2 linked regions of the Caenorhabditis elegans genome follow. The protein of the gene in region 1 interacts with the protein of each later gene in a pairwise test. Each region holds a gene or a part of one and is shown on either strand. Other genes may lie near its edges.

What was found. Proteins that work in one complex are often made in the same cells at the same time.
Region 2: the proteins of elt-7 (region 1) and memi-2 interact in a two-hybrid assay, tested with the Caenorhabditis elegans proteins (one large-scale study listed by BioGRID).

What each region holds. Positions count from the first base shown.
Region 1 is NC_003283.11:4,768,418-4,774,218, reverse strand, and holds elt-7 (Transcription factor elt-7), read right to left. Parts: upstream 3,550-5,801; 5' UTR 3,506-3,549; coding exon 3,384-3,505; intron 2,506-3,383; coding exon 2,220-2,505; intron 2,167-2,219; coding exon 2,081-2,166; intron 1,436-2,080; coding exon 1,333-1,435; 3' UTR 1,133-1,332; downstream 1-1,132. Other genes in the region: C18G1.9 (FERM domain-containing protein), read left to right, coding at 4,524-4,561, 4,608-4,704, 5,256-5,374, 5,420-5,801. UniProt on the Caenorhabditis elegans protein: Transcriptional activator that binds to the consensus sequence 5'-[AT]GATA[AG]-3'.
Region 2 is NC_003282.8:13,397,859-13,402,643, forward strand, and holds memi-2 (MEiosis-to-MItosis transition associated), read right to left. Parts: upstream 2,649-4,785; 5' UTR 2,648-2,648; coding exon 2,168-2,647; intron 2,119-2,167; coding exon 1,936-2,118; intron 1,893-1,935; coding exon 1,701-1,892; intron 1,651-1,700; coding exon 1,468-1,650; 3' UTR 1,210-1,467; downstream 1-1,209. Other genes in the region: cyp-31A5 (CYtochrome P450 family), read left to right, coding at 3,448-3,540, 3,587-3,990, 4,038-4,134, 4,186-4,280.

The DNA of each region.
Region 1 (5,801 bases):
TTCTCGAAAAAAATTCCCATTTTAGGAAATTTTGGCATATTTGGTCAAACTTTGAATGAAAATTTTGAGAAATCGAAAACCTTTTGGTTTTTTAAAAATAACTTATCACTCGGGATACTCTATCTTTAGAACTTAAATAAATTTTTTGCAATATGCATTTGGATTTTTTTTTTCCAAAACACAAAAAGCCATATTTAAATAATTTCCTTTCATTTTGAGTGTTCTTTGTAATTTCTGCAGCCTTTCAAATTAAATTATTGTTCTCTAACAACAAAATATTTTTCTTAACCCACGTATTTCGAATCTTATTGGTACAATTCCACACAAAACCTGAGCAATAAAACATATTTCTCCTCACACAGCTTGGTGAATCTGCTGCGGTCACAAGTCACTAGTCCTTTTCCACAATTTCGTCATTCAGTGAGACTTCAATCATCATCTCCTCCCTATGGGACTCTTTTTTAGCCTTCTATTGTTGTACTCTCTGACCTCAACTTGGACATTTTTAGATATTAGGTTCTCCAGGAAGTCTTTGTAACTGAGTTTGCTTTTCCATAGCTCGCCGCAGTTGCACTTTGGTGTTCGACAACTTCGTGACAATTACGTGACAACTTCGTGACAATTACGTGACAACTTCGTGACAACTTCGTGGCAACTTCGTGACAACTTCGTGACAACTTCGAGACAACTTCGTGACAACTTCGTGACAACTTCGTGACAACATCGTGCCAACTTCGTGACAACTTCGTGACAACTTCGTGACAACTTCGTGGCAACTTCGTGACAACTTCGTGACAACTTCGTGACAACTTCGTGACAACTTCGTGACAACTTTGTGACAACTTTGTGACAACTTTGGGACAACTTCGTGACGCTGTAAAGCCAAACGTAGTGTTACCTTCTTTCGCGAGCCAAAAAAACGCGAAAGAGGGGCGGAGTCTGCACACTCGGCATTTATTAGAGGCTGCTTGGCAGAATATAGAAATTGATGGTTTCATCTGTCCCTGGTCTCATCGTTTCAATTTCTACATTAAAGCCCACTTTTGTATTAATATCCCACATATCACCAATTTCTCATCTTATCATAGAATCTTTCAACATTATTATTTGTAACAATATTTGTATAAGTAGTATCTCTAACGTTTTATTTAAGAAAAATAATAATGAAGTTGACATTACAAATGTTTGAATATGGTAATATCAGTGGAAAAGATGACATAGATATATAATCTTTTTTAAAAAACGAATACAAATCAGCGCATAGAACACGGTACAATTGATGTAGAGGGATACGTAATATGCTGGAAAAATGGCGATACAGTCCAAACTTGTCTATTCTTTTTTTGCTTGACGCCGCTTTCGAGTAGTTGGCTTCTGCTTGCAGAGGGATAACGGGCGTTTCACTTTGTTGTGACGGTAATACAAGTTGCAAGCACTGAAAATATTACTTTAATAGTGGAACTAATGATGTATATTTAACTAGTCATTAAAATTAATAAAATTTTAAATTCGAAATTCTAAAAAATAATCGAAAATTATAAGCAAGTTCAACTGAGAATTTTTGATTTGGAATGTAAATGTTCTAAATGTTCGAAAAAATTCAGGGGTAGGCGGCAAGTGCCATTCGGCAAATTTTTTTGTCAACAAATTTGGCAAATCGATAAATTGCCGGTTTGCCATTTTGCCGGAAATTTTCATTTCCGACAATTTGCCGATTTTTCGGAAATTGAATTGATGATTTTTGTTTTTAGAGGGATTTTTTATAAGACGGAAACATTTAAAACTGTGCATTTTTGAAATGTTTTCTCCGTTTTCTTTAGATATTTTCACAGAACTTGCTTACTTTTCAGAATAGATGTAGGAACATTCATAGGATGCGTACAATTTTGCCGATTAAAATTGAAATTCGGAAATTTCCAAAAAAAATGTGCAAAACCACAAATTGCCGAAAATTTTCGGCAAATTCGGAAAATCGACAAATTGCCGGTTTGCCGATTTGCCGACTTGCCAGAAAAACAATCGGTTGCCGCGCACACCTGGTAGAAATAATATAAAAGAATATAATAAAATATAAACTTACTTGCACTCAAGATTCCCTTCATCATTTTTACGCCAAAGTGTGGTTGTAGTTGTTGAGCAGTGTGAGCAGCACGCATCACGAATTACCTGAAAAATTTCATATAGAAATATTTATTTCATTCTAAACCCTCGAATCCTACTTTTGCAATTTTCTTTCCCTTCTGTGAACCAAATCGGTTTCCAGATGATTCGTAACTGCTATCTTGCTCCACAAAGGATTTTTGCTCATTTTCATTTTTCGTCAAGCTTTCATCAAAAATAATTCTGGAATCTTCAAGTGGTTGTAATGGAGTAGTACACATTGACGACTGAATTGGTTGTTCGTATGGAGATGGAATTTGATAACTCTGGAATGGATCAAAGTGATGAGTTGAAGCATCTTGCCAAGTATTGTAGTACACGGGCTGCGGTGGGTAGACATATGGACTGAAAAGTTGGAGTTTTTATTCTCTCAAGCTGAGCTGAGTTTGTAGTACATTTGTGGTGCAGGAGACTAGGCAAAAGATTTGTAAGCAGTTGGTAAAATTTGGCAGGAAAAGTTAAGCGGAAAGTTGTTAAAATTTGTCAGAAAGTTGCCAAAAGTTTTGCAAGAAGTTGCCAAAAGTTGGAAAAAAGTTGCCAAATGTTGTCAAAAAGTTGCCAGAGCTTGGCAGGACGATGCCAAAAGTTGGCAAAAAGTTGTTAAACTTTAAAAGAAAGCTATCAAAAGTTGGCAGAAAGTTGCAAAAAGTTGTCAGAAAATGTCCAAAGATTGACAGAAAGTTGCAAAAATTTTGCAAAAAGTGTTAACATTTGAAAGAAAGTTACGAAAGGTAGACAGAATTTTTTAACTGCTTTGTAGGAAATTGTTAAACTTTGAGAGAAAGTTGGAAATTACCTACAATTGCCAAACAGGAAACATGTTAAGTCATACACTTTAAGCCATTCCCAGCATGAAACTCGTTTTTCAGACTCTCAAATTATAATAATAAACCTTAAAAAATATAATAATTCTCAAAGATTCCTATTCTCAAAAACACTGAAAACTACTGATTATAAGCAGTATACTTTGGAGCATTCGATATTGATTTTTATCAGTTATGCTACATGAGTTCAATAAAACATAGTTTTGGTCACATGTTGGAACAAAGTTGTTGTTTTTGTATACATTACTACAGGAAAGTAATATTTTGGTAGTAATGTAAAAACCATATAATTCTGTTGATAGTGAATATTTCAATTTAAGTTTGCCGTAAAAATAATACAATTACATTATGCAACATTTTTATGCACTGCAATAAAACAGTTTTGATTTCAAAACTTACTTTTGATTATATTGAAATTGATTAAATAAATAATAGTCCTCCATTGGACTTCTCGCTGGCGGCTCATTCATGATAGTCGTAACAGATGGAAGTGGTTGAAGAGTAGTAGTTTCAGGGAGCATTTTTTCCAGTCGACTAGAGCAGACAACTCTAACCACAAATGTCTGTCTTTGTTACAGGCAGGAAAGTAACAAAGAGCCCGGAGAGATCCTAGAGAAAGAGACAAAAAAGGTCAGAGTGATAAGATAGACCGGCGGCGGTGGTGATGGGGAACTGTGTGTGGCTCACCACCCATCATTAGTAGTTTATGATATAATGACTATGAACCTGGACGGCAAAGTTCTTAAAGGGAAGGAGAACGAAAGTAAATATGACTTGGGACTTTTATGGATAGTCGTAAATTAGTGGTAAGTCAGAGATGCATGTACCTATGCCTTGTGTGCCAGTGGACGAGCAAAAAAAGGAAACATGGGAAAGAGGGGGGGGGGGTGCGGCAAATCTCAAAATTTGCAGAGTCCGGCAAAACCGGCAAATTTGACAAATTTGCCCTGGTCGGCGAACCCGGAAAATCTCGATATTTTAAAACTATTTTTTGGATCACAAAATTGACGAAAAAGCTTTAAAAGTGTAGCATTCTGGAAAAAAAATTTTTTTTAAAGATACTCACAAAATTTTGTGTTATTTCATTCATTTCTTTCTTCTAAACTCAAGGCAAATTTTAGAGTATTCCGAGCTTAACAAATGGCAAATTGGACAAATTTGTCGCGAATGGGAAATCTTGTTCCAAGTTGAAATGCTGTGTCCTGGAGGAAGTGTGCAATTATTTTTTTTTAAGTTGAAGTAATGTGCAAAAGGGGCATAAACTGATTGTGAGAGTGCATAGTGTTTATAATTTAATTCTTGTATTATCGGTAGCCTATTTCTAACGTGTTTTTTTTTAAAATACATATAATTTATTTAAAATGAATGCTTGAAAAATCAACATGGAATGTAGTTTTACGTAAACTGTATTTTTCTATTAAAAAAAGTGTAGATTTGGAAAAAGATAAGAATTCAGAACTGTGAGAGGCGATTTTAAATTCATTATTTTTATTCAAATTACTAGCATTCGCGGCTTCTCAACTAACCGACTAACCCCCAATGTGCGTCTCGAGACCAGGATTGAGTACAACTCGGAGGTAATATAAGGTATTAGAATTACGAGTTCTCAGTTAACCGCTACAGATCTCGACACGAAATTACTTACACCACACAAAATGAGGAATCTGCAGAAAATTGGTATAAGATGGCTAATTCGAATTTCCGATCGGCAGTGTTTGAGGTATGAATCCCGATTTTTATAATCGGAACTTTGTGCCTACAGTACCCGCATGTGTTTCAAAATTACCTCTACAGTTTATTTTTTCCACTTCTACGACTTTAAAGGAGGGCGCATTTATTCAAAATGGTCCCGCCACGCTCCACCCATTGGTCTCGCCACGCGCTTCAAAAATCAATGAATGGCGCGTGACGAGACCATTTTGAATGAATGCGCCCTCTTTTGAAGTCGTAGAAGTGGAAACAAATACACTGTACTTTTGCAATTTCGCTCAACTTTTCGCAATTAATAGCGCTAAAACTCCGGGTTTTTGAAAAAAAAAACCAAAAGTACGGGGAAATGGAGAAATATGTGCGCGGAAATACTGTACCTGGTCTCGGCACGATTGAAACCTTTCAGCTACCGTACACCACAAGTTTTCGTAATCGTCTATTTCTAGACTTTCACCAAATTCATAGCGCTAAAATGTGTTTTTAGTGAAAAATTGAGGAACATTTGCGGATACGATACCTAAAAAGACCCACTACCGTAACATAAACAAATATAATTTTCAGAACCGTGTCCACGTGTGGGCACTCCCACTGAGCTATTCTCAATCGAAATATGGTGGCCGGAAGACTCCCTCATCTGCTTGCACAATAATCACTGTCCAGATTGCTCACGATTTCTTGAGGTTTGTGAAATTTTAGTGCGATCGAAAAGTAAATCCATCTTTTAGCAAGAACGTCTGTATCCCACCCACGCATCCTTTGACACCTCAACATCTTCCACTTGGCGTCCTCGATGTTCTTATTAACGGAATTGTTGATGGCAATGAGACACACGAAAAGGCTATGGCAGCTCGACGACGAGGATTCAGTGGAAGTCTAAAAAAGAAGCATCTTGAAGAGACAGGGGAAAGTGGTTCAGTCTTCCAATTTTTGAAGAAACCACATCGAGACACGTTCACTGTGCCAGAAGCTATTCAAGTTCAGCGGCCCGAGATGCATGAGATTGACTACCCATGCTATTCTGGAGACTTTATTAGCAATCTCGTGACAGCTATGTCGATGGCTGTAAACAGTCCGTATCTCTCGAAACTCGATAGATTGGCAATTGGA
Region 2 (4,785 bases), on another chromosome or scaffold:
GGCAAATTGCAGGAATTGAAAAGCTCCGGAAAATTTTCAAAATTCTGGCAAATCGGCAACTTGAAAAACTCCGGCAAATTGCCGGAATTGAAAAGTTCCGTCAAATTGCCGGAAACAAAGAGTTCCGGCAAATTGGCAAACCGGCAAATTTCCGGAAAATCGGGAAATTGCCGGAATTGAAACGTTCCGGCAAATTGGGAAACCGGCAAATTTTCGGCAAATTGGCAAATTGCAGGAATTGAAAAGCTCCGGAAAATTTTCAAAATTCTGGCAAATCGGCAACTTGAAAAACTCCGGCAAATTGCCGGAATTGAAAAGTTCCGTCAAATTGCCGGAAACAAAGAGTTCCGGCAAATTGGCAAACCGGCAAATTTCCGGAAAATCGGGAAATTGCCGGAATTGAAACGTTCCGGCAAATTGGGAAACCGGCAAATTTTCGGCAAATTGGCAAATTGCAGGAATTGAAAAGCTCCGGAAAATTTTCAAAATTCTGGCAAATCGGCAACTTGAAAAACTCCGGCAAATTTCCGGCAAATCGGAAATTTGTCGGGATTGAAAAGCTCCGTCAAATTGGCAAACAGGCAATTTTTAAGCAAATCGGCAAATTGCCGGAATTTAAAAGTTCCGGGAAATTGGCAAACCGGCGAATTTCCGGATAATCGGGAAACTGCCGGAATTGAATAGTTCTGGCAAATTGGCAAAACGGCAAAATTCCGGCAAACTGCAGGAATTGAAAAGCTTTGGCAAATTGGCAAACCGGAAAAATTCCGGAAAATTGCCGGGATTGAAAAGTTCCGAAAAATTGGAAAACCGGCAAATTTCCGGCAAATTGGCAAACCGGCAAACCATTTTTAAAACTCACAAGTACGCATAAATGAGCCAATGAGCCAATTCAATCATCGTCGGCCAGCCAACACAGAGCACAGATTATATGCCGAAACGGCAAATTTTGTGAGAAATGGAAATCTTTAGCCTCGCGATGACATTTCAGAGGCAGCAGCTGTTATTTGGAGCCCCGCACGTGGTGAGAGTGAGAACTCGAACAAAATTTAGAGAGGAGGAAAAGTTGTTGGAAAACGATCAAAGGTGAGTGTGGAGAAACGGATATGAGTAACCGGAAGAAGTTGTTTTTTGGAGTAAAGTAAAAAGAAGTTGTTTTTTGGAGTAAAGTAATTTAAATTCCAAATATTATAAAGACAACTACTGAATGTAATATATAATTCATCTCATCGTTAAAAAGATTGCAAAATCAACCAGTTCATATTCTGGCAATGTTAATTCAAGCAATATACATGTTAAACATAAGCAAAATAGTTTGGGGCAGCGGAGAATCTATATACAGGAAACGACCAAAACAAAAAAGGAAAATAAAATAAAGGGGAAAGTTAGTTGATATATTCAACAAGAACCACTGATACAATAATACAGAATTATGTACATTACAAATTATAGGACATATGTCTGGAGTTACTCGTCCTCTTCATCCAGTTTGAATGTCTCGAGGAACGTGATCAGGTCCTCGACTGGCACAATTCCCTTTCCCAGCGGGATCATGTCCTTTTCGATCTCAAATTCGTGGATTTCGACTGGATCTTCGACAATCAGCACACGTCGGTTCTTGCACTTCACTGTTTGCTCCAATTCGATGTACTGAAAATTTCATAAATTGAAAATCGAGATTTTATTGCTGCTCAACTCACTCTACTTCTCCCTGAAGTATTCCTGGCGTTCGAGTTGTTATTGTACACGATCCTCGTTTCCACGTGGCGCTTTCCTCGGATAGAACACGTGATTGATGCAGTCGAGGCCATCAGTCGGCCTTGTGAATCGAGTCCTGGCTCGAGATTTCCGTATTCCCGGCAGTTTGTGGTTCGCAGGTGACGAGTGGTAGTCTGAAAAAGTTATTGGCATGAAACAGAAAACTGTTTCTCGTACTCTGCCCTGTGATCGGTTCAACGTTGCCACCACAAAGCTGTCTGTCATCTGGAATCCTTCGTTTTCCATCTCCAGTTGTTCGAGCATAGCAAACAATAGATGGAATGGCATTTCAGTCGTTGCCTGGATCGCGAATCGAACCACATTTTGACCCGTCTCTTTCGGCTCGGCCAGGAAGGAAGTCTGAGATTAAATTTAATTCTTTCAGGAAAAATATTCTCAAGAAATTAACCAGAATCAAACTGGAGATATCCTCGACCAACAGCATGCGGCACTGAGCGGCGAAATAGTGTGGTCGCTGATTGGGATGAAGGAGCACGTGCTCGACAAGCGCTTTCTCCGATTCTCTGGTCGTGTTGAACCATCTTTGCGAGAAGAAGTCGTAGCGCTTGAGACGAAGACTTTCAATCGGCATTGTTTGAATGCTTCTGAGCACTTTGACAGCTTCATCGCGGATGACTGTCTTGCTCGGCTTCTTGTCGACGAGCTTTGGAGTCTCATCGATACGATGCAGGGAACGGTAGTTCTGATCGTCGACGAGCTCCACGTCTTCTCCATGCCCTTCGATAATTACATCATGATTGATGTTGGGTTGTGGTGGGAGGGCAGAGCAACCGGCTCGAGCGGTTTCCAGGTGATCTTCTTCGTTGTAGTTGACCACGTATCTGGTCGCTGTCAATTCGCGAAGAACGGTGCGAGATGGAGCTGACATTCTGAAAAATTTTGGTGTAAAAAATTAATGGAAAAGAAGAAAACAATGTGCTCAAGTGATTTGCAGATTAAGAATAATTTACCGATAAAGCTATGAAAAAGATTCATTAAATCTCTCTGAGCATCAGCTTAATACATCAGCAAAGAAGAAGAATTCACACGATCAAAAAATTTTGTTGGGCCTAAAATAATGAAATTGTTGCGCTGATTTTTCGCGGGGAGATCATTCATAAAAATTACAATATTCATTCAAAAATAAATACTTTTGGATTTGTTTTATTCACTTTTTTTAATGAAAAATTAACAGTGATTGGAACTTTTTAATAATTAAATCAAGATTTAAATATCAGAAAACAACAAAAATTCGTTCGAGAACTTTCTCAAGCCTACCGTACTCTTTAAAGGCGGCGCCTGAAGATTTTCACATGGCTATCACCACGACGCAAGTTAAATTTGACTTTTTACTTATAATTCGTTCTTTTTATTGCGATTTTTTAATATTTTCAGCATCGAAAAAATTTAACAAACGTTTTTCTTATTTTTAAAACGCTTTTGATGCTTTGTGCTCGTCTTAAAAAAAGCTGAAACGAATAATTCTCAAAAAAATTCGTCTTTTCTGGGTTACCGTACTCTTTAAAGGCGCATAACAATTTTCACATAGGTCTCGACAAAGCGTGGGAGAAATTTGAATTTTCAATCAAAAAACGTTTGTTTTGTTGCGATTTTCAGGCTTTTCCTCGAGTTTTCAACGCTTTTTGCTCGTTTTTTTCGCTCAAATAAATTATTTCAGAAGATTCTACAATGGGGGTTATCATCCCCGCTGTACTTCTCGCTTCGGCGACGGTGATTGCTTGGCTTATCTACAAACACTTGAGAATGCGTCAAGTTTTGAAGGTTTGATTGCAAAATTCATTTAAAGATAAATTGAATAAACTTTCAGCACCTCAACCAACCACGATCATACCCAATCGTCGGTCACGGACTCATCACAAAGCCCGATCCAGAGGGATTCATGAATCAAGTGATTGGAATGGGATATTTGTATCCAGATCCACGGATGTGTCTTCTCTGGATTGGTCCATTCCCATGTCTTATGCTCTACTCTGCCGATCTTGTTGAACCTATTTTCTCTTCCACGAAACATCTGAACAAAGGGTTCGCATACGTTTTGCTTGAGCCATGGCTTGGAATCAGTATTTTGACGAGCCAAAAGGAACAATGGCGTCCAAAGCGAAAACTATTGACACCAACCTTCCATTATGATATTCTCAAGGATTTCTTGCCGATTTTTAACGAGCAATCGAAGATTTTGATTCAGAAATTGTGTTGCCTCGGTGTAGCAGAGTGAGAATTTTAATTCTTACATAACTCTTTCGAACGTTTTATTTCAGTGAAGAAGTTGATGTTCTCTCCGTCATCACCCTTTGCACTCTTGACATCATCTGCGAAACTTCCATGGGAAAAGCTATCGGTGCTCAACTCGCGGAGGTTCGGGAAATTCTTCCATCTATTTAAATTTCTAAATGTTTTTTTTTTCAGAATAACGAGTATGTATGGGCGGTGCACACAATTAATAAGCTGATTTCAAAGCGAACAAATAATCCGTTGATGTGGAATTCATTTATTTACAATTTGTACGGTATTTAGTTTTAAAATTTTAAATTTATCATTAAAGATGATGTAGTCGAATTTTTTTTTGCTTTATTAGACTCAAAATTGTCTGAAAACTTCTCAAAAAAAATTATGACGGCTCAAAAAATGACCTAAAATTAATTAAAATTTGAAATTTGACCGAATTGTCAAGCGGCTGGAAACTAATTTTTTCGGGTATATAAGTTAATTATCTCGGGGTTTCACCTTCATTTAGGTATTTTAAAGTCGATGGACGGCGAGATTAGGTAAAAAAATTTAAAAATCTCGCCGTCCATCGACTTTAAAATACCTAAATCGAGTTGTAAACCCAAGATAATTAAATTGTATACCCAAAATTAGACGGTGATTTCGTAAAAAAATTTGTTTCAAGCCGGTCAAATCTCAAATTTTATCTAACATTAGGTCATTTTTCGAGCCGTCATAACGTTTTTTTTTAGAAGTTTTCAAGAAGTTTCATCATGAAATTCGGTGTTTTCAGACAATTTC